Linked DNA regions of Cricetulus griseus. The protein of the gene in region 3 interacts with the protein of the main gene of each other region in a pairwise test. Links are inferred from orthologs where the notes say so. Each region holds a gene or a part of one and is shown on either strand. Other genes may lie near its edges.

Region 1 (8,293 bases), on a different chromosome or scaffold from region 3:
ATGGGCAGGCTGCTTTATCTCCCATGGGTCTGCCTCAGTTTCTCTGAGGGCTCGTGTTGTACCCACTGCAGAGGAGAGTGTGTGGAGTCCCTAAAGATCACCCGTGGGAGTTGCAGCCATGTGCAGCTCTGATTAACCGCCCGGGAAGGTTGGCTAATAACTGTCATTTCACCACAGCCATGTCCAGATTTGTCCTCAGAAACTTGGAAGTGAAAAAGCAGCAATTAAAGAAACCTAGTCCGGGCCCCAGATGGAAATGTGGGTACAGAGACAGCTTTCTAAGAATGTGATGCAATGCCCCACCCTGGGGCCTCATCGCCCTGTTCTGTGGATGGAGCAACTGCCGGGAGCTTGCTTCAGGCGCCTGCCATGGCCGGCTGCTCCCTCCTCCCTGGCCCCAGCATTTCCCAAGAGCCCACAACACACGCATCTCCTCAGCAACTGGGGGCTGCTTCCCCTCTCGTCCAGACAGGAGGGGTATAGTGGGGTGGAGGCTTGATGAGGCCACACGCCCGAAAGGAAGGAAGGAAGGAAGGAACTTACCACGATGCCACCTGCCTGTATGCTCTTTGTCATTTTGTCCAAAGTTATTTATGTGGCTGCCATGACTCCTAACAGATAAGAAATAAAATTCAGTGAAGAGGGTGTGAGTGCTTCATCTGGAAGGGTCCCTCCAAACACTCTCAGGTAGACTAAGGTCTCTCCTTGCACTGGGAGGTCAGAGGTGGGGCTGTGTGTCTGAGGAACACTGCTCCCAGGAAGCTGAGTGAATTACATGCCACACACTGTAGAGCTCTGCCTTCTATGCTCAGCAAACTTGAATTCACGAACCGTTTGGAGGAAAGTGCTAGATAGTTGCTAGGCCTTCATTGTAAGTAGAGAAGTTGCTTCCTTGGTGCCTTCAGAACTCAGGCCATTGAGAATGGAGGGATAAATCCACCTTATGCCAGGCCATGACAGGGTTGGGGGGGGGGCGTTGGCAGAAAGACTTGTTACACACCCCCAAGAGGGTCACAGTCTAGGGTCAGGACAAAGTCCTGTGGTAGCTGAGGTTGACTTTTGCTGAGGATGAGAGTCAAAGAAACATAGGGGAAGCTGAGGAGGACAGACAGCTGGGCCAGGCTTTGTTTGGCTAGATTTTGGGGGGCATCTGAAATTAGATAGTGAGGGTCTTGAAGGATGAGACGTTTTGCTGTTATCATGGAGTACATAGGAGACACTGAAGGTGCTTCAGTGTGGTTGTGACTTAAGGAGTAAGGCATCCAAGGATGCCTGTCTGACATTAGACATTAGGTAGAAGGGGAGGGGACGGCCACGAATCAAGAGCCCCTGTGGGGAAGGCGTCTCCTGGAGACAGATGACTTGTTCAAGTCCTGCCTTCATGGGGAGATGTCTGATTGCCTCATGTCAGGTGGTAACATGAGGAAAGGGCAGAATTCCAGACCAGAGAGTCTTAAGCCTCCGTCTTTTATGCCCAGACTCCGGCTGTCCGGCTGCCTGCCAGCTGCGTGTCCACCTACCATAGCTATGGAAAAGGAGAACACAGCCTCTCCTGGCTTCCCCATTATCCTGCTGGAGTCAAAGGCATCAGGTTCACCCTTGCTGCCCTGGCAGCTGGTGCATCCTGGCAGGGACTTCCACACTGTGCTGGTGGAGGTGGGATGCTGAACTAGACAGCCACTACTTGGCTGTGTGGCTTTTGGTGGAGAGCTGCTTCAGCTCAGGCAGGGCCAAGACAGACATGGAACCTGAACCCATGGCATGTTAATGCTCTCTGTTGTAATTTGGTTTCAGTTGCTATGATGGAATACCCAAAGCTGGATTGCTTATGAGTAACAGAAGGTTCTGAAAGCTGGAAGGTGCAAGATCTAGGGGGTGAACCAGGTGAGGGTTTGTGCTGTGTCATAATGTGTTGGAGAATATCACTTGGAAAGGGAGAGAGACAGGGGATGGGGAGAGGGAGCGGGGAAGGGAGAGCATGGGGCAAACTGATCTTTCCATTAGGAAGTCCCTCCTATAATAAACTAAATACCCCTGCTGGGGTAGAGCCCTCATGACCTAAATCACTTCTAAAGGCTCTTGTCTCTGCTGACACATGAACAAACTTGTGTCACCCCCGACAAGGGCATCAGTGACAGACTAAAGCAATGGCTCCATTCAAGTCCAGCTTGGCAACCCAACGAGTTCATTGGGTTTAGTTACAGAGCACAGGTAAGAGGGCCACTTACAGGGGTTCAGGTGACCCCCCCCCCACAGCTGTATCACTGTGAAGTCTCCCCACACCCTAACTGACCACTTCTCTGTAAGTGCATAGATGGAACACCCTTCAGAGAGCCTTCCACATCGATGGACCCTAATACCTCCCGAGACTAGGGTCTCACCACCCTCTCCTTCTGTGAGGGGAATGACAACAGGCCTGATTTTGAGGGTGGCAAGTGGTCACAAGTTGCTCTGATGAGGATGGTAGTGGTTGTTATCCTTAGAGAACAGCATTTCACACCAGCCGCACCTCACCACACCACTGCCCTGGGAAGGAGTTCACAAAGCAGAGACCTTTGGGGACGAACATTCACGCTACATGACCCAGCTTAGCGTAGATAGCGGTAGCTCACGTTCCCCTCTTGGGATCCTAAGATCCTTCATCCTATAGCCTAAGGTCTCAAAAGAGTTGAGCCAGGCCGGCAGGAAGGGAATAACCATGGCTGGTGATGGAGAAGGATGGAGAAAGGGGAGGGAGCATCACAAAGCCATGTGGGCATCTCCTATTCAGTGCAGGCTGATGTTCTTGCCAGGAGTCTGTGTGTACGCATCATTTTGACCTCTTTTTTTTTAATAAAATGGTACCAGGGATTGAACCTAGGGCCTCCTGCATGCTAGGTAGGCTTCCTATCACTTCTTTGTATCCCCTCTTGTGTGTGTGTTTACATGTGTGTGGGTATTTGTCTACATATGTGCCCATGCGTGTAGAGGCCAGAGGTTAATGCTAGGTGTCTTTGCCCATCTCTTCTCACCTCCTGAGGTGAGGCAGGGTCTCTTGCTGAACTCAGAGCTCATGGTGTTTCTAGTCAGCCTAGCCAGCTTGCTCTGGGTATTCTGTGGATGGGGTCACAGGAGGCTACAATGCCCACTCTTCTTTTCCATGGGTCCTGAGGGTCTAAACTTGTTCCTTCCACTTCTGCAGCAAACACTTTACTCTGAGTTGTCTTTTAGCTCCCTCCAGCAGCCCTTTAATACTTTTTAAATTATTTGAGGCAGGATCTCATTAATTTGCCATTAGGAATTGGAATGGCCCCTGAGTTTGGCCTATAACTCCAAACCTGGCAATTTCTGATTTGTTTTTATGAGTGTTAAAGGCCCAAGAAAGTGGGAGAATTCACCCAAGGGGAGAATTCCCAGCATCCACTCTGTTCCCATGGTAACAGAGGTGGGCTGCTCTAGGCTAGGCAGCTCAGAGATGGGGAGGAAGGATGGGGTGGGCCTGAAAGTCACTGAGCTGCTGTTGGTGACACAGACCTGGGATACACACAGGAGAATGGAGACCCTGGAAAATACCTGTTCCCCACTTGGGTGTGACCTTCAGGGACAAAACTCTGCCACTGAGTGACTAGTGGGAGCTATGGCCAAGCACCATGGGGGAAGGGTCATGAGAGACCCTCATTCAGTTTCCTGGTGCCCCACCCCAGATATAAGCCTATCTGAGCTAGAAGGAACACACTCACTCACACACACACACACACACACACACACACACACACACACACACACACACACACATTTTAAAGACAAACTCTTAATGTGCTCATTTTTATGCTCAGGTGTTCTCTGATTTACATAGGCACAGAACTGACTGTGGAGGAATTGCTTGAGATCAGCCACAGCTGTATACACTCATCCTGGTTGCTTCAGTGTGTGGTATGTCTAAAATAGGCAGGGATTAATTATTATGATTATTATTATTAGACACAGTCTGTCTATATAGCCTAGGCTGGCACAGAACTTAAAGAAATCACCCCACTGTTCCTCCCCCACTACTGGGATCACAGGTATGTGCCATCATGCCTGGCTGGAATCATTCTTAACACACCAAAAATTTTAAGCCAGGTGTGGTGATCCATACCTGTAATTTTAACACTTGGAAGGTAGAAGCAGGTGGAATCAGGAGTTCAAGGTTATCCTTGGCTGCATAGCAATTTTGGGACTAGCCTGGTCTACATGAGACCCCATCTCAAAAAATAAAACAGAAAAAAGCTGAGAGTAACAACCAAAGCAGTTTAAGAGGATGGAGCAGGATTTCAAACAGAACCTTGGTTAAAATTATGTGCGTGTGGACTTAGACAGGAAGAGCTAAATTGGGGGTGTCTTTCATGAAGGTACCATCTCTGGGTGGTCAGGCTTAGGCTGAGCTCCTCTGCTTGTTTCAAATCCCCCCTTCCTCATTTTGAAATGAATAAGTGGCAATGGATTAATTTATTCTCTCTTGACTTTTCTCCTGTAATAAGATGAATTGTAAAGAGACATGAGCATTGTCCACAGAAGTGAGGAGCCACTTCCTCCCCTCCCTAGATAACCCAAGCAAGAAGAAGGTCTCAGAACTAAGCAAAGGCCTGGAGGTGACAGAATCACACTGCAGCCAGTTCCAGCAGGCACACAGCTTTGCCAGTGTGGTCATCTGCATCAAACTTTGGATAAAGGGACTCCTGTCTACACACAAGGGATGCAGCTGGAAGGTCATGGTTCTTGGATGGGGGTATCTCTGGGACCATCAATCTGCAGGCATCATTGCATGCTAGGTTGTGAGATACAGAGATGAATGTGATAGTACTGGTGGACAGTATGCAAATGAGGCTCTTCCCAGAGACCTGGGTTGGAATCCTAGCTCGAACTCTTCCTTGCTGTGCAGCTTTCAGCTAGTTATATCATATCACCTCTCTGAGCTTTAGCCCAGCCCTCAGTAAGGATGGTGGAGATGTGATCACCTCTGCAGGGGGCTGTTACCAGCCTCAGATGGGCCATGTACAGCAAGCCTTGCCCCCATGGAGTGATGGCTGACATAGATGCCCTGTAGAGGCCAAGTCCTATGTCCTCCTTTGGGCCTCTTATAATAGCCATACCTGGTGAGACAGAACTGTCAGAAGAGTATCCACACGGTATCCTCACAGTAAGGTAATAACGATGACTCGGACTTGTGTCTGTGGATTCTCAGAGACAACCAGCACAGCATTCCACTCACCTTGAGAGGAAAGGGGTCATCATTCCTATTTTACAACACAGGATGTGGAGGGCCAAAGAGGCTGTGGCGTCTGTCCAAGGCCACACAGCTAGAATGTGACGGAGAGGTGTGTGAGGCTAGGCCTGGCTTTCCTTGGCCACAAAACTAGATTCCCCTTTGCCTGATATATCCCAACATAGGTTGGTTCAGAGTGCTAGGGGGACACAGACTCAAGAACATGGTAATGGAGATAATAAATCTAGGGTGGCTTCTGTGAGGTGGGGACATTTACACTGGGCTTTGACATATCCAACGGCATGTGCTGGGCGCCATGTTAGGCAGATGTATGGGTTCAGAAGACAATGGCTGATACAGTTTGGCTCTGGTATGTTCCCAGGGGTCATGTGTTGAGGCTTGGTCTCCAGAGCAGAGCTACTGGGAAATGATGGAATCTGTTTTTATCCTACTTGTAGGTTTCATTATGATATTTTTATTTTAATTGAAAATTCAACAATGTATTCTGATCACAATTTCCCCTACCTCATGTCCTCCCAGATCCTTTCTGCCTCCCCACCTATCCAACTCCATGCCTTTCTCTCCTTTTAGAAAACAAACAGGCAAAAACAAAAACAGAATAAAAAAAAGAGGAAGCATAAGAAATACACACACAGACAAAACCCATAACTACACAAAATCAGAAACCATAGTACAAAAGTAAAAGACCTGTAGTATAAAAAGGTGCTCAAAGCAATATGAAACAAAAAAATCTATAAAAATATTGTTGAGTTTGTTTTGTGTTGGCCATCCACTTCTGGGCATGGGGTCTGCCCTTAAGTGTGGCTTAAATACCCAGTGAGACTATTTTAGGAAAGTGACTTTTTCCTTTGCGAGTAGTTGTCAATTGGAGACAGCTTCTTGATTAGGGATGGGAGATTGCATCCACCTCCCCCTCTCATTCTGGGATCCCATCTGTCTTGAGGCTGTGCAGGCCCTGTGCACACTGCCACAGTCTCCATGAGTTCATATGTGCGTCAGTCCTCTTGTGTCTGGAAGACACAGTTTCCGTGATGTCATCCATTCCCTCTGGCGCTTACAATCTTTCTGCTCCTCTTCCGCATAGCTCCCTGAGCCCTGAGGGGAGAGGTTTGATGAATACATTCCATTTAGGAACGAGTGCTCCAAAGTCGCTCATTCTCTGTGTGCTGTCCAGCTGTGGGTCTCTGAATTTGCGCCCATCTACTGCAAGGGATGATGGCTGAGTGAGACACTGATCTATGGGCATAGCACTATGTCATTAGGAGTCGTTTTATTGCTATGCTCCTTTAGGAAAACAATAGTATTTGGTTTTCCCTTAAATCTACAGTCTATCTAGTCTCAGGTTCTTGTCAACATTTGCAGTGTCAGGCATTGGTTTCGTTTCATGGAGTGGGCCTTAAATCCAAGCAGATGGTGGTTGGATACTCCATTGCTGCATTGTTTTATGCAGGCAGGACACCATTATAGATTGCAGGGTTTGTAGCTGGGTTGATGTTTACCTGTCTCCCCTGGTAGCATGTAGAGTACCTTCCAGTACAATGAACACTAGTCAGAAGGGGTGAAAGCTGTAGTATATATATATATGTGTGTGTGTGTGTGTGTATTGTTTTTTTAGTAAAATAAAGAGCTGTATCATTAATTTGTGCAAAGCAGTCAGTAGCCTGAGCAACATCTTAAGTTGTTTAGGGGTTTCTATGGGTTCCTTTGGTCAACAACTCAGTTAGATGTAACCCATTTCTGGCACTGGATGTTTCACTTGGTGGCAAAAGATGTTCAGCTGGGACATCATCTTCCTTGTTATTTTCCAAGTCGATTTAGATTTATTTCAGATATGTATATATTTTAAGACACTTCCACAGTGGTAGGTTTATATATAACCCTTCTTGTGGCCCTTAGTGTAAGTTATCCCTCCGGGTATTCTTTCCCTTATCCCCCATCTTCCTTCTGCTCTCCACTTAACCCTTCTGTTCTAGTCTTCCCAGTGTGTTTCTACAACTATATATTCTAGGGAAATGATGGACCCTGATGGAACCTTTAAGGGGTGGGTTTAGAGGGAGGAAGCTAGGTCACTGGGGATATGCCTATGGAGACTGATAGGTGATAATTCCCACCTTGACAGGGTGTAGAATCACCATAGAGACAAGTCTCCAGGCACATCTGTGAGCAATTATCTAGATTAGGTTAGCCACTCTCAATGTGGGTGGCACCATCTCATAGGCTGGGGTCCCGGCATGAATAAAAAGGAAACTCGATAGCTGAGCATCAGCCTTCATAGTTGTTCACGGACTGCCGCTGCAGTGTAAGCAGCTGTCTTGCGCTCTGCTGCCATGCCTGCCTCACCACGTGGACTGTAACTGTGAATTGTGAATCAAGAGGAATCTGTCTTTCCTTAAGTTGCTTTTGTCAGGTGTCTTGCCAGAGCAATGAGTAAAATAACAGGCACGTAGGGACAGTGGGCCCTTAACCTCTCCTCCCTGCTCTTTTGCAAGCATTGCATGACCCCCACCAGTGTGTCCTGCCTTGCCACAGCTCAGATGCAACGGGGGCAACCAAACATAGGTTACAACGTCTGAAGCTATGAACCTAAATGAACCTTTTTTTCATATAAGACGATTAATTCAGGTATTGGGTCATAGTGACAGAAAACGCATGGGCACAGTGACTGTCCCCATGAAGGCTATAGACTCATTTGTGGCGGTAGGACTTGCATAGAGACTGGTCCCTGTCTCCTAGGACAGGGGTCTAAGTTGATTAAAATCACCAATAGGGGCCAGGAAAATCGTTCAGCGGACACAGACTTGCTTCACAAGCATGAGGACCTGCGTTCAGTCACCAGAACCCATGTGAAGCTGCTGAGCATGTAGGCTCTCTGGGCCAGTCTATCCTAATTGGTGCTCTCCAGGCCAGTGAGAGGCCATGTGTCAAAGGAGGTAGATGGCATTCCTGAAGATGGCATCCGGGGTTGTCCTCTGGTCTCTGAATATCCCCACACATATATGCACCTGCACACATGTACATTGTCTCCCATAGTATAAAACCAACCATCAG
Region 2 (8,228 bases), on a different chromosome or scaffold from region 3:
TGATTGGGGCTTGGAGAGATAGCTCAGTAGTTAAGAGCAGTGGCTGCTCTTCCAGAGGTCCTAAGTTCAATTCCCAGTACCTACATGGTAGTTCACAGCTATCTGTAATGGGGTCTGATACCCTGATGCCCTCTTCTGGCATGTAGGCATGCAAACAGAGCACTCATACATAAATAAAATTAAAAACAAAACAAAAAGCAATGGGCTATCTCTAGGAAATAGAGATGAAATCATCCCAAGATTATCACTAGTTTCTTATCTCCAAGTACACCCAGCACTAAAAACAGGTTACCATCTAAGTGTGAAGCAAGAGGGTACCATTATAAAAATATGCTTGGCAGCCAGGCATGGTGGTGCACATCTTTAATCCCAGTACTCAGGAGGGAGAGGCAGGCTAGATCTCTGTTAGTTTGAGGCCTGCCTAGTCTACAGAGTGAGTTCCAAGACAACAAAGCTACACAGCAAAACCCTTTCTTGGAGGGGGAGGGGGAGACAGGACAGGGACGCGACACAACATAACATGCTCGGATCACAAGTAGGTTCTCCTCACAGCTTTTCAGCAATAAATCATTCCTATAGTTTCTATAATGCTTAGGTAGAAAAGTAAAATTAAAATAGAGTCACATCAACTTAATGATATTTATTAAAATAATTGTTTATAAGTTTGAACTTTATCTCACTTTTACCCTGGTTATATAACAAGAACTATATGGACTAGAAAGCAGTAACAAAAAACCTTTCATGGTAGCACAGTGGAAGACATGGAATTCTCCAAGGTCTTGGAATATTTAAAGTGGCACCTAGGGCAATCTTAAAAAAATAATCAAATTTTCCTTTTGTAGTTTCTCCTTTTGGTTCAGAGTTACAAGAGTCTGGCTACTACCATTGTCTTAAGAGGTAGAGCATGTGCTTTCTACTAGTTGTTCCTTAATAAATCTTCCCAAATCTCATCCCATCTGCTTTTGGTGATGGCCAGTTGTCTATGATCCAGAAAGGGAGGCTCCTTGCTAATTATTACTTGAGATCCATGAACCGGATATCCATGATGAGAAGAAAGTTCTTAGGCAGTGGACGGGGTGCTGGAGACAGTACAGTAAACACCTGGTGTTCCAGATCCACACTGGTCACGACAATGAATCCAGCCACACTTGTCTCAGAAAGGTTCTCCTCTGTTCCCTCAGCAGTGCTGACACTCAGGAGATGGTGTACCATATCTCTGCCAGGGGTGACAGGTACTAACTTGAGCTGATTGTCTTCCTGAGACATGCCCAGAGGTAAACAGGAGTCTGGGATGGTTGGTGCCCCAACTTTGTAGATTTTCACATCAGAAAATTTGACATTGAAGGCATGGGGATAGAAACAGCCTCGGAATCCATAGAAATACTCACGGATACGCTCATCCCTACATTCCCGCCGGAAGTCCTTGGAGCGTTCTACCACGCCCCCTGATTTTGGAAGCAACACAGTTCGAACAAAATGAGGCAGGTCCCTTTTCAATTCGTTGTACAGTCGTTCTTGATCCAGAACCACAACCACGTCCACTTCAAAGGCGGAAGCTGCATGCACCAGGGCCTGGTAACCAGAGCTCTTGACCCAACCACAGGTGTTAATGACACAGCCACTCACAGAAGCCCTTCTGTTCACTTCACACCTTTGGTTGAACACATCGGCTAAACGTGATGTAATCTGGAAAAGAATCAAAATGAGAACAAAAAAACAGATAAATTTGCCTATATTATTTACTTGTTTTTATTTTACATGCACTGATTTAGTGTTTTGCCTGCATGGATGTCCGTGAGGGTGTCAGATTCTCTGGAACTGAAGTTACAAACAGTTCTAAACTGTCATGTGGGCAGTGGTGGCAAACACCTTTAATCCCAGCACTCTAGAGTTAGAGGCAGCCTGAACTCCGAGTTCAAGGCCAAACTGGTCTAGAGAGCAAGTTCCAGGACTGACAGGGCTAGAGAAACCCTGTCTCGAAAAACCCAAATAAATAAATAAAGTATAAAAATCCTTAGTTTCCTAGGGGAAAAAAAAAAGAATAGGGCCACAAAAAGTGTAGCAGTCTGAGGCTGGCTTAAGTTTACAAGGGTTTCTTCTAAATTCAAAGCAATTAACTAGGGGCAAAAATTCTTCAGTTTTTTTTTTTTTGTTGTTGTTGTTTTGTTTTTTCGAGACAAGGTTTCTCTGTGTAGCTTTGGAGCCTATCCTGGCACTCACTCTGGAGACCAGGCTGGCCTGGAACTCACAGAGATCCACCTGCCTCTGCCTCCCAGTGCTACCCTACTTCCTACCCTGATTTAATTTTTCCCTCTACCCCATCTTAGCTCCAGCTCTGACCTTATTATAAAGCTTGATGTTGGTGCCAGGAGTGGTGGAGCCAAAATGATATACAAGAGGGGCCTGGATGGAGAAACCTTCTTCCACATCTGCCGGCCGTTCAATATAGAGGGCTCCCATGGTACCAGGGATGGACACAGAGCCCTGACCCACATCCAGCTCCACATAGGTAGGGCGGCGGCCCAAACGCACTGCATAGTTGAGTAGCAGTCGACACACTGTGGACTTGCCCACATCAGTAGGACCCACTACCATCACTCGGGGGCCTCTCTCTTCTTCCTTTTCTGCCTGCCTCCGCATCTGCTCCAAGGCTGTATGAGTGTTGAGGTAAAGCAACATAGGGGTGTCCTTAGAGACATAAGCCACCTCGGTCCGGCCACTCAGTTGCAGAGAACAGCCATGCCAAGTGAAAACAGCCACCTTGGCACCAGCATCAAAGGTGAATTTCTTGTTTCTGGTAAGCTCTGTGCCAAAGATCTCTGCCATGCCAGCCAACAATTCCAGTTGAACTGACTGAGATGCTTCCACCTCAAATCGAAGCTCTGTTTCTCGCTCTAGTTCAAATTTAGTTGTTGGCTTCTTGTCATCATTGGATTCCTCACTCATTTTTTCTGTATAGCTGCTGTGCCTAGAACCCAAATTAAACATTAGATTAAATCATTACATAAGGCCATTGCTATGCAACAATCTTTGCACACTGTAAATATGTATTATTCTCATTGTTAATAAGGGAGAATGCTGGGAATAGGAAGGGCAGAGTCAGAGGAGTCACAAGGAGCCAGAAGCACAATGAGTTAGACACACAAAATGGGGTAGGGGTAAAAGCCATGAGCCTTGGGACAGCACACAGATTAACAGAAATGGGTTAAGTTGTAAGATCTAGTTAGTAACAAGCCTGAGCTATCGGCCAAGCATTTATAATTAATATTAAGCTTCTTTGTGTTTATTTGGGAGCTGCTGATGGGACAAAAACTTCTGCCAACAAATGGCACAAACATCTAGGGTCACTTACATTCACATAAAGCCTGAAAAAGCTTCTTTAAAAAGGTGCTAAACATGCTGGGCGATGGTGGCACATGCCTTTAACCAAAAAAAATTTTTTTAAAAAAGAAAATACAAGACAGTCGGTTATTGTGTTGTCTTTGAATTTTTTGCCTCCTTAAGAGACACTGGATTATGAAAACTGCTAGATTCAACATATATATATATATATTGCTATATATATATATATATATATATATATATATATATATATATATTGGTTGAATCTATATCTATCTATATCTATATATCTATAGGAATAGGAAGGGCAGAGTCAGAGGAGTCACAAGGAGCCAGAAGCACAATGAGTTAGACACACAAAATGGGGAGGGGTAAAAGCCATGAGCCTTGGGACAACACACAGATTAACAGAAATGGGTTAAATTGTAAGAGCTAGTTAATAACAAGCCTGAGCTATCGGCCAATATATATATATCGGTTTTTCGAGACAGGGTGTCTCTGTGGCTTTGGAGGCTGTCCTAGAACTAGCTCTTGTAGATCAGGCTGGTGTGAAACTCAGAGATCCGCCTGCCTCTGCCTCCCAAGTGCTGGGATTAAAGGCGTGTGCCACCACCACCCAGCCAATGTATTTTAAAGAACTATGCCCAAATTCCCAAAAGATGGGCTATTTATTATCATTTAAGGGAGGTTGGTTACAAGCTGTTATTTGTAATGGTCAGGAAAAAAGCTGAACAAAGGAGATTAGATTGAAAGATCTCTTTCTGAAAGGGGGAGATTATTGAATCCTTTTTTTTTTTTTTTTTTTCGGAGACAGGGTTTCTCTGTGTAGCTTTGGAGCCTACCCTGGCACTCGCTCTTGTAGACCAGGCTGGTCTGGAACTCACAGAGATCCGCCTGCCTCTGCCTCCCAAGTGCTGGGATTAAAGGCGTGTGCCACCAACGCCCGGCTATTGAATCTACTTTTAAACCAAAAAAGCAACTGCTAGTCTTAAATATTTTACATTGGTATGGATTTTTTAATATCGATACAAATTTAAAGTTAATTTTTGTTATACTATATGTATGTTTCTACTCGTTTGGGTTATTGTGTTTATACAACTCATTAAAAATGCAAACCAGCCTGTCTCAAAAAACAAAACAAAACAAAAGAAAAGTAATGTATAATTTAAAAAATACAGATTAATAGTCATCTATAATAGTCAGGCCATCGTTCAAAATCTTCCATTGGTTTCATCCCTTTATCTTTTTTCTGCGGAGTTCTTATTGCCTTCCGACTCGCTGGGTTTTGTTTGCGGGTCTCCCCACAATTAGAAGGTAGAGGTGTTTTTGTTTGCTACTCTATCTCTAGTAGATAGAACAGCAGTGCACCTCAACAGAAAACTGAGTGAATGAATGACTAGGTTATAATAAAAATGTAACTAACAGGAAACTTACTGCGTTGTCTTCCTTCCATCACCCTATCGGGAAAGAAATAACAGATGCCCTCTCTCCAACTCTCAGCCAAAAAAAAAACTAGACTCTGAATAGTGTGCAAAGTACAGCACACAGGGTTCGGACTAAGAAAACAGTTGTATGTCAAGCTCTGAAACTCCAATAGCTACTTTAATTCAATCAACACCTCAACAAACTCATCAGCTGTCATTTGGTGGGAATTTACACGTCCTCACCTAACAGTGCTGTTAACAGCTACCACAGTAGGAAAAACAAAATGAAACACCGTAAATTAGGCGCTAGCAAAGAAACGTTAGTTACTCTGATTCTAAACCGCACTTCCAGGTCCAGTATTTGTCGCAGTTAGTTCCAACACAGAAATCTGCCAAGGCCTCGCAGAACTGAATTGGGGTCCTTACCTGCACAACCACAGGTCCTAAATCAGGGTAGCAGAAGCCTTCGGACAGGACTCCAGCACAACGACCACTTAGAGAGCAGCCGGAAAGCAAATGCGGTTCCGCTCTTGCGCGATGGGAGGAAGCGCGGTCGCGTAATGCCTCTTGGGACATGTAGTTGGGCTGAGTGAGCGCGCGTCGACGCTCAGCCCTCTGGAAGTTGTAGTTCGAGAATTGTGCCGTGACGCGCGAGGTGGGCGGGGCAACGCCGTCACTTTGTGCGGGAAGACCGCTGGAGGCGGAGAGGAGGCGTTGCTGGTGCGCCCACGCGCGGAAGGCATTTACATGGTCTCTCCCCATCTGCTGTCCAGGAAAGCTAAGGGCTACCAGAAAGGGGAGAGGCCTCTCTGTCTGGATCCTCTGCTCGCCTAGACCACAAGCCAGAAAGTGGGGAAGTTAGCAAAACCTAGCGTAAGCAGGAGACCTAGGCAGAGGGAAATAGAAACAGTCCCCCTTTGAGGCTACACAGAGCTGACAACCTCTGCCTGTCGGTGCCGAACATAGAGAAGGAACCAAGTGTAAATTGTTTTTTACCCCACCCCCACCCCACCCCGGTTCAACTGTAGCCCAGACTAGCCAATCCCGGACTCGCGGTGATTTCTCCTGCCTCCTAAATGCTGGAATTTACAGATTTGAGTCACCAAACCAGGATGTCTGTTGGGTTTTTTTGGGTTTTGTTTGTTTGTTTGTTTTTCCCCTTTAGTAAAGGTAGAATAAAAGCCCAGTGGTTTTTTTCCCATTAAATTTTTTTTTGGTTTTTCGAGGCAGGGATCCGCCTGCCTCTGCCTCCCGAGTGCTGGGATTAAAGGCGTGCGCCACCAACGCCCAGCTCCCATTAAACTTATAAACCAGTCATTATCCATCAACCTCTTCCAGATTCTGGATTGTTTCTCTATGTAAATCAGACAGTTACACAAGGTCAATCATTTACACACTGCTAACTGGTTCCACCATGTCTATAATACACTTTTCATGAGCATGGCCTTTGGAATCTTGTATGGTTGGCTCACTGCTTGACTGGATAAATCACAGGCTTCTTTCCCTGAAATGTCTCTTGTCTGTAAAATGGGAATAATAACAGTATTCAACCTCTTAAAGTTGTTTTGAAGATTGGATGAGATACATGTAAAGCACTAAGCACATTGCCTATAATATAGCAAGTATCTGATGTTAACCTTTAATTTTATTATAGGCTAGAGAGACTATAATAATCTCATCTATTCATATACCATGCTTTTACATTTTTCCAGTTCCTCCAGGTGTCTTATGTCACAACACCCTCAAAAACAGGTAGGTATATTATCTCCAGTTTCATTTGGGGAGGAAGATAAGAGGCATTTGCCCATTTAGTTATTAGTAGAGATCCACCTACTTTTGCCTCCAGAGTGCTGGGTTTTAAAGAGTGCACCACTAGGAGGCTTAGAGGTCGGTTTTTTGATGATTAATTTCATTTGTCAATTTGATTGGATTAGTAAACACTTTGGACACCAATGGGGCACATTTTGGGGTGTGTCTGTGAAAAGATTCCAGAAAAATGTAACAGAAGAGGAAAGATTCACCCTGAATGTGGGCAGCCCCATTCCAGGGGCTGGGGTCCTGGACTGAGTCAGAAGAGGAAAAGGAAAAAGCCACCTAAGCACCAGCATTCCACTTTGTCTGCTTCCTGATCTGCCCAAATGTGAGCAAGGTTTCAACACCACAGCTGCAAATTGTTTCTACTGCTGATCCTTCCCTGTGCTGATGGACTCCATCTCCTGAACCACGTGTCCAAATAAAAACCTCTTTCAGTTGCTTTTTGTCAAGTATTTGATTATAGCAATGAGAAAGATAACTAAAACAGATCCAAACCAAGAACTTAGGGAGCTGGATCAACTTATAACAGGCAAACAATTACATAGTGTGAGCTGTTAGGGCTTGTTCCATGGCTGCACAGGTGCAAAGGGCATGCATTCATTGAACTCCAGCTAGAACCCTGTGCAGTAGTTATAACCATCACTCCCATTTTACAGCTACTGTTTTTCTTCCTTCTAACTTTCTCTTTTTTGTTACTGTTGTTTTGATTTTCAAGACAGGGTTTCTTGTGTAGCCTTGGCTGTCCTTGAACTCACTTGGTCCTAGACCAACCTGGAATGGAACTTAAAGAGATCCATCTTTCTCAGCTGGAACTAAAGGCATGTGCCACCACTGGCTCACTGACTTTTTTTTTTAAGATTTATGTGTACAAGTGTTGTGCCTATATGTGGACCACACTCATGCTTCATGCTAGTAGAGGTCAGAAGACATGTCGAATCTCCTGGAAATGGAGTTAAGGACTGTTGTGAGCAGCCCTGTGCTGGAAATCAATGGACCTCTACAAGTGCAGCAAATGCCCGTAACCCATCCCATGAGCCATCTCTCCAACCACCCCCCCATACTGTTTTGTTGTTGTTTTGGTTTTTGTATTTCAGGGGGCTTCTCTGTGTAACAGCTCTGGCTGTCCTGGAACTTGGTCTGTAGACCAGGCTGTCCTCAAACTCACAGAGATCCACCTGCCTCTGCTTTCTGGGATTAAAGGCATGTGCCACCACCACCCAGCATATTTTATGTATATGATTGTTTTGCTGGCATGTATGTATGCGCATCACATGCATTCTTGATCCCCCTCCTAGGTCAGAAGACATCAGATCTCCTGGAACTACAGTTATAGCCACTTTGCTCTCGACAGCCAAGCCATCTTTTCAGATCCCTGTTTGGTTTGTTTTTGTTGTTGTTGTTGTTTTGTTTTGTTTGAAACAGGGTTTCACTGTGTTGTGTAGGCCTGGCTGTCCTGGATCTCACTCTGTAGGCCAGGCTGGCCTCAAACTGGAGACCTGCTGCCTTAATGCAAGTGAATACTTTCCTCATTCTAGCCCACCTGATGAATTTAGACTGAGAGTGTAGGGTAGCTTTCTGGTCTACCTTTTTCTTACTGGTCCTATTTAATACTGTTTTCAGGCAGGTGAGGTGTTACCTCTCAGTTTT
Region 3 (7,171 bases):
GCACCTGAACTGTGCAAGCATTGGGAACTGTAAAAATTCATAGTGGCGATGTTGGGGAGACTCACTGCAAGTACAAGGACCTGAGTCCAGTCCCCAAAGACGGGTGTTTGTCTTTGTATTCTCAGCACTGGGGAGGCAGAGGCAGCCGGGTCCAGTCAGTGAGCTTCAAGCCAACTAGAGACCCCACCTCAAAAAAACGTGATAGACAGCTCCCAAGGAATAATACCCAAGGCTCTCCTGTCCTCTGCTATTCTCTCTCTCTCTCTCCCTCTTTCTCTCTCTATCTCCTCTCCTCCCCCTCTCTCCCCCTCTATCACACACTCCTCCCCCATTCCTCACAGCAGGGAAGAATGCTGTAAAGATAAGTGACAAGGGTCTGAGCCGACAATGTCTTAGTGAGGGGGGGGATATTTTAGAGTAGTGTGATAGTATCATGTCAGCTCTGGCAGGAAACAAAACAAAACCATACAGAGAAACAGTAGTATGTGCAAGAAATGAAAACGCACTGCATGTCGAGTGCTAGGGCAGCCAGGGCCACACAGAGACACTGTCTCAAACAAACAAACAAACACCCCAAATAAACAAAAAAGAAAGGAAAATGTCACCTGTGGAAATCCAAGGTTTTTGTTTTGTTTTGATTTGTTTTTTTTTTTTTTTTTCCGAGGCAGAGTTTTTCTATGTAGCCCTGATATCCTGGAACTTGATATTGTAGACCAGGCTGGTCTCGAAATCAGAGACCTACCTACCTCTGCCTCCTGAGTGCTGGGATTAGAGGCATGCACCACCACTGTCTGGCTCAAGGTGTTTGTTTTCATCTTTGTTTTTTTCTGTATTTTCCAAGTTTTCTATTGCCTCTTGGTTTTTCTCCCCAGTGATTGAAGATTGACTTGTTTCCTGTAGCACTGGGGTGTAGCCAGGGCCACACACCTCCGAACTCCTAGCCTGATTAGTCATGCATTGCCAGCTCTTTAGGAGTATGTGGTCAGAGGTGATATTGGTGATACTCAGGGGACCTGGGCAAATGGGTGACTAGGCCCTTGTGGCTGTTCCCAGGTACCCTTCCTTTGGGTATGGATCTGCCTTTGGCCTCTGACCGGCCTCTTGGCCACTCCCTCCCAAGCCCCTCAGGCAGCACCAGTCTGAGAGGGGATCTGTTGCCTGCCTGCTGTTCTCTCCCACAGCTCTGTCCTGTCACCTTATGAGAAGCAGCTTAACTTGGACGGCTATGCCCAATGCCTGGAGGACGGGACTGGCAAGAGGAAGAGGAGTTCCAGCTGTCGGTAATTTCCCCTGTTGTTGCCCCTCTCCCCAAAGGAGACTGGAATGTTCTCACAGGCTTGGGGAGACAGCAGGGGGTCCACCTCAATTCCAGTGAAACTGTAGCCAGGGACAAACATGCTGCTTTTCCTCCCTGTGTCTCTAAGGTCTGTTAATAAGAAGGCTAAGGCCCTGCAGAATTCCCTGCCACCCATGAGTCTGGCAGCCTCCAGTCCACCTGCCTGTGACCAGAATAACCAGTACCCAGAGAAGCCCCAGGAGTCAAGCCCCAGGAAGGGCTCAGGACTCTCCTTTCAGATTCAGGGGTCTTCAGAGCCTTGCCCTGCTCTGTCTAGGGAGGATGTGGGGTGTGGCCAAGAGAATGACACAATCCAGAATGGAGCCAAGGGGGCTCCTAAGGCACGCTGGAACTTTGAGCAGATCTCCTTCCCCAACATGGCTTCAGATAGCCGCCACACCCTCCTGCCTGCCCCAGCCCCAGAGCTGCTCCCGGCCAATGTCATTGGGCGAGGGACAGATGCTGAGTCCTGGTGCCAAAAGCTGAACCAGCGGAAGGAGAAGCTTTCCCGGAGAGACCGGGACCAGCAAGCATCGGTCCAGCAGTTCCGGGAGGATGTGAACGCAGATCCCGAGGTGCAGGGCTGCTCCAGCTGGCGGGAGTACAAGGAGCTGCTGCAGAGGCGACAGTTGCAGAAGAGCCAGCCCCGCCCTCCACACCTTTGGGGCCAGTCTGTTACTCCCTTGCTCAACCCTGATAAAGCAGATTCCCCAGGTATCTCTCCCCGCCCCCTGCTATACCCATAGGCCCCTGGGATCATAAGACTTGAAAAGGATGTTTTGACCAGGGTTGGCTGAGGCCTAAGGTATGAGAGGAGAAGACGGCAGTCAAGTGGGCCCAACACAGACTCTTCTGTAGGTCCCAGAAGAGCCCTAGGGGAAGGTTTTCTGATGATTTGTTACCCAGTGACACTTGTGGGGGATGAAGATTGTACCTGCATCCTTAAGATCATACCCAAGAATGCTGGATGGCTTTGCCAGCCGCCAGCTATGGGCCCGTCCCCTTCGCAGCCTGTTAGCAGGAACATGGTGGCACCAGAGTTTTCAGCCAAGTAAGAGGAAAGCTCAGTGTTTAAACACAAGGAGCTGAGTATGTGGCCTGAGCTAAGTGTAGTGCCAGGTTCAGAGCTCTCCAAAGGCATCATGGGAACATGGTAGATTGGGAGGTGAGTAGAGTAGGGTTACCAGGTAAGTGTGTTCTAAATACTGCTACTGTATGGGGCATACCTTAAACTAAACACCTGGTAAATCTGGTGGCCCTAACCTGATTAGCAGACTTGGCAGTATCACAGGAATGTGTAGGAAGTTGACTCCCGTTCTCTGCATCTTGCTTTCACTGCCCTTGTAGCCACGGTCCTTCAACACATCTCTGTGCTGCAGACAACACACCTTCCTGATGGAGGTTATGGGTGAGTCTCAGCTGTGCTCACTGTCTCCGTGACATTGGCTGCCAGGTAGAGCGACAGCTGGGGTTTGATGCCTGGAGTTGGGTGTGAGTCTGAGGATCACCCCAGGGACACCTGCCCACATACTTAGCTTCCAGTGGCAGCTACTGTCATGTGCGTCTAGGGGAAAGGAAGAGTGACAAGGTGGTGGCTATATCCCTGGTGAGGCTGTTTTGTAGAACTGGTCGTAGGAAAGGGTTTGGTGTAGAGGGAGGTGAGAGAAGACTGTCCTTGTCGTAACATTTCTTATTTGGTCCTCAGGCTGCTGGAGAAGTCCAGAGGCTTGGAGATCAGCTTCGACGTTTACCAGGCTGATGCTGTGGCTACGTTCCGAAAAAACAACCCTGGCAAACCCTATGTCCGAATGTGCGTTAGTGGGTACGAGATGATGGAGCAGAGTACCTCTGGCTGCCGCCAGCCCACCCCTTGATCCCTGCCACCATTTTGCCAGCTCCCGAGAAGGATCTGAAGTCCTGAAGATTAAGGGCCACCTATCTAAGGCCATGTGGCCAGTTGGTGCCATAGGAACCCAAGCTTCCAAACCCTCGGCTCCTTGTTACTGGCATCTGCTCTTTAGTCCTGGGCTCACTCAGCAGGAGGGAATGATGTGAGGGGTTTCCTGGCTAAGGGTGCTGACAGCCCATACCTGCTGTCCTCTACTCAGGCTCTCCTGAAGAGCCCATCAAAGCCATGGAGTTTGTAGACAGCAGAGCCCAGGGGCCAGTATCCCTAGCTTTTGTCTTACAGCCTTCTTGGCTTACACTCAGGGGGCCGTGGTTGGGCTATGGCTATGTCTCAGTTTAATGTTTATTCCTACAGATTTGATGAGCCTGTCCCAGACCTCTGCAGCCTCAAGCGGTTGACCTACCAGAGTGGGGATGTTCCCCTCATCTTTGCCCTGGTGGATCATGGTGACATCTCCTTCTATAGCTTCAGAGACTTCACACTGCCCAGGGATCTGGAGCACTGAATACACAGCTCTGGGGATTGGCCTTTTCTGGGGGACTTGGACTACTCTCAGGGACCACGTCGGCTGACTCCTGTACAGGACTCGGGCCTGGAACTGCCTAGGCCAATGTGGTCTACAGCTCTGGGGATCTGCTGTTTGTAGGGGAGTGAAGCCTTGCCCCATGCCCTCTTGCCTGACAGTGACCCCCTTGAAACTCAGGACTTGATTTCAGAGGCCCAGGAAATGGGGCAGAAGAGGACTCTGTGCCTTTAAACGGGGGTGCCTGCTTCGTGCCATAAAGCCAAAGCCATTAAAAGAGATATTTTCTGCTGTGGTTGGATCTACTTACTGGACTGACCCTTCCCCTCATTCCTGATTTGCCCACTCTGGGGGGAGGAGAGAGCCCGTGGGAGAGCATGGCCATGACTTTGAACACCGAGGTGTTGGGCTGAGGGATGCCCGAGGATGTCCTGTTTGTCCTAACTTGAGTGCAACTGGGTGGTGGCTGAGAGTCCCATGTTGGTTTGGATTGGACCCTAGCCACTCAGAGGTTCCTTCCCCGTGTTACTCCAAGCCTGTCCCTAGCTTGGACTAAAAACTAGCCTAGCTGCAGTGGATCTCCGGGCACCAGTCCACCTCTCTGAAGACGGAAGTGGGGGCTCCCAGCCGTGGGTAGGCGTCTTGACTCTAAGCCTTCCTTCCCATCCCGCCTACTCTTGGGTCTGAACCGTGCACCTGCCGGTCAGTCTAGTTAGAAACGCTCTTTTGAGGATGCCACGTAGCTGGACAGCTGCGGGAGGAACCTTTCCATCCTGGAGAGTACCCAGGGACTACTTCCTCTTCCAGGAGGTGGTGGGACCCTGGCAGCAGTGTGCAGACGTGTGACCAGGTGTGCGCAGGTGAGGGCGGGGTGGAGCTGACGGCACTAGGTGCGCCTCCTCGCTGCTGCCCCGCCCGCGCTGCTGGGGCCTCGATTGGCCAGAGCGCGGCCCCCGCCCTCCAGGGCTCCCAGGCGGCGCCCCCGCCCGGTCGGCTCAGCCTAGGGGGTGGGGCCGGGGGCGGGGCGCTGGCTCAGCAGGCTCGCCCTATATGTAAATCGAGGCGGCTCCGCCCCCCGCTCGCCGCGCCGGAGGTGAGCAGGAAGGAGACGGCCGCCCTGCAGCCCGTGGGCCGGCGCCGGGAACCGGAGCGGCGGGTGACGGGCGCCGAGGAACGCCGAGGCCTCGGGCAGGGCCCGGCCCGCGAGTGCAGGTGAGCCTACCTGGCTTTACGCGGCCCTCGGGGGCGCGGACCATTGGGGGCGGCGCGGCGCGGGGATCCGCGTCCCCTGGGCTTCCCCGGGCGGGTCGGAGAAGGCAGCGCCCAGGTCTGCCCTGCTCGCCCGGATCTCCGACGTTGGCTCGTCCCGGAGAAAAGGCACCTGTAGAAAGTGGCTCTGAGAACTTGTCTTTTCCTGTTTCGCCACACGGATTGCCAAACTTGGGACTCGGGTTTGCACAATCGCGTTGGCTTTCGGGAGCAGGGAACAGGTGTCTGGCCCGGCTGGGTGCGGGGGCACCGTGAGCGGACACCCGGTCCCGGACCCTCGAGCGAGGCCCCCGGACGCAGAGCCGGGCGGCTGCGCTCCCCGTGACCCGGCGTCCGGAGGAGCGCCTTACCTTGGCGGCTCAGCGCTCACCTCTGCCATCTGGGCGCTCTCCCTGCCCGCCCTTTGTGCCTCCTAATCCCCGACGCAGGAAGTCCGCCGTGGGACCTGGCGCCCTCGTGGACCGGGCGGGGACGGGGTCTCCCCACGGCCTTGGACACCCGTAGGCGACGGTGTTGAGACCCAGGCTGTTTACACTGATGGGTGGGGGTTTCCCTGGGGGACCCGGCAAGGAGTGGGAAATTCTTGCGGAAGAAAGTGTGCTGTGCTTTTACTCAGTCTGGACGGTGGATGGACACGTTGGGGCTTAGCTGTGGGAAGTGGCCGTAACTGGGGTAACCGCGATGCCCTCTTCGAGGGTTTTCACCTGCCACAGGTGACTTCCGGCACGGAGGGCGGGGCTTCGAGAACGCGCCCCTTCCCTTGGGGACCCTGACGTCCATGAGGCTCTGGGGACTCTGAGTTTGAGGCCATTCTGAGCCGGGAGAGAATGGGTGTGTCAGGGTAACAAGGAAATGTTTGTGGGAAGAGCCGAGCTGCGCTGCACGGCCGAAAAACCGTGGCCTGCCTAGGAGAAAACTAAGAGTGCGTTTGGGAGAAGACCCCCCTGCGAGTGTAAACAGTGCACAAGAAGGCAGGAGAAGGGTGGAGGAAGCGATGTTTCTCCCATAGGAGTCCCGTAGTTTTAAGTCATCTGCACACAGAACATTCGACAGGACTCAAAGCAAGCTCTTCTGTTTTCTGATCAGCTTTGGCCAGTTCCCTGGAGAGCAGTGCCAGGTCCTAGGGACATTCTGCATCTCTACTCTTCCTTGAGGCAGTGATGGCTCCTCTTTAGTTACAGACTGGGATAATTTTAATTATATCGAAATATTTAGTCTCAAGCTGGGCATGGTCTTGAATGCCTTCAATCCCAGCACTTGGGAGGCAGAGGGAGGTGGATCTCTGAGTTAAGGCCAGCCTGGCCTACAAAGCAAGTAATGACAGCCAGGGCTACACAGAGAAACCATCTTGAAAAGCAAAACAAACAATTTAGTCTCTTTTACTACATTAAAATTTTATTTTGTATGTGTGCATGTGTGTATGTTTGGGCATGCACATGTTATGCTGTGTGTGTCTGTGTGTGTGTCTGTGTGTGTGTCTGTGTGTGTGTCTGTGTGTGTGTCTCTGTGTGTGTCTGTGTCTGTGTGTGTGTCTGTCTCTGTGTGTGTGTCTGTGTCTGTGTGTGTGTCTGTGTCTGTGTCTGTGTGTCTGTCTGTCTCTGTGTGTGTGTCTCTGTGTGTGTGTCTGTGTGTCTGTGTCTGTGTGTGTGTGTGTGTCTGTGTCTGTGTGTGTGTGTCTGTATGTGTGTCTGTGTATCTGTCTGTGTGTCTCTGTGTGTGTGTGTGTGTGTGTGTGTGTGTGTGTCTGTCTGTCTGTCTGTGTGTCTGTGTGTCTGTGTCTGTGTGTGTGTGTGTCTGTATGTGTGTCTGTGTATTTGTCTGTGTGTCTCTGTGTTTGTGTGTGTGTGTGTGTGTCTGTGTGTGTATCTCTGTGTGTGTGTCTGTATCTCTGTGTGTGTGTGTGTGTAGGTCAATGGACAACTTGGGGGTGTTCTCTCCTTCCGCCATGCAGGTCCTGAGGCTTGAACTTGGGTCATCAGGCTTGGTGCCAGATACCTTTATCTGCTGAGCTATCTTGTTGGCCATAAAATAATATTCGATAAACAACAGTATCAAAAACAAAAAAAAGGAAGGCTCATATGGTCCTCTTTCATTTGAAAAACAGACAAGGAGCCTCGTGTGGTGGCTCACTCCA

The links.
Region 1: the proteins of Tsen54 (region 3) and Tsen2 interact in a two-hybrid assay, tested with the Homo sapiens proteins (2 studies listed by BioGRID and IntAct). The two-hybrid records come from large-scale screens. The link is inferred for Cricetulus griseus from reciprocal best matches to the Homo sapiens genes TSEN54 and TSEN2.
Region 2: the proteins of Tsen54 (region 3) and Clp1 interact in binary tests that used the Homo sapiens proteins (3 or more experiments, as listed by UniProt). The link is inferred for Cricetulus griseus from reciprocal best matches to the Homo sapiens genes TSEN54 and CLP1.

Annotation. Positions count from the first base shown.
Region 1 is NC_048601.1:29,319,777-29,328,069, forward strand, and holds the start of Tsen2 (tRNA-splicing endonuclease subunit Sen2), read right to left. Parts: upstream 5,319-8,293; 5' UTR 5,231-5,318; intron 1-5,230.
Region 2 is NC_048599.1:90,799,709-90,807,936, reverse strand, and holds Clp1 (polyribonucleotide 5'-hydroxyl-kinase Clp1), read right to left. Parts: upstream 5,319-8,228; 5' UTR 5,193-5,318; intron 2,969-5,192; 5' UTR 2,947-2,968; coding exon 2,341-2,946; intron 1,687-2,340; coding exon 1,015-1,686; 3' UTR 621-1,014; downstream 1-620. UniProt on the Homo sapiens protein: Polynucleotide kinase that can phosphorylate the 5'-hydroxyl groups of double-stranded RNA (dsRNA), single-stranded RNA (ssRNA), double-stranded DNA (dsDNA) and double-stranded DNA:RNA hybrids. dsRNA is phosphorylated more efficiently than dsDNA, and the RNA component of a DNA:RNA hybrid is phosphorylated more efficiently than the DNA component.
Region 3 is NC_048600.1:128,405,240-128,412,410, forward strand, and holds the end of Tsen54 (tRNA-splicing endonuclease subunit Sen54), read left to right. Parts: intron 1-1,181; coding exon 1,182-1,280; intron 1,281-1,424; coding exon 1,425-2,050; intron 2,051-2,683; coding exon 2,684-2,744; intron 2,745-3,041; coding exon 3,042-3,158; intron 3,159-3,599; coding exon 3,600-3,750; 3' UTR 3,751-4,063; downstream 4,064-7,171.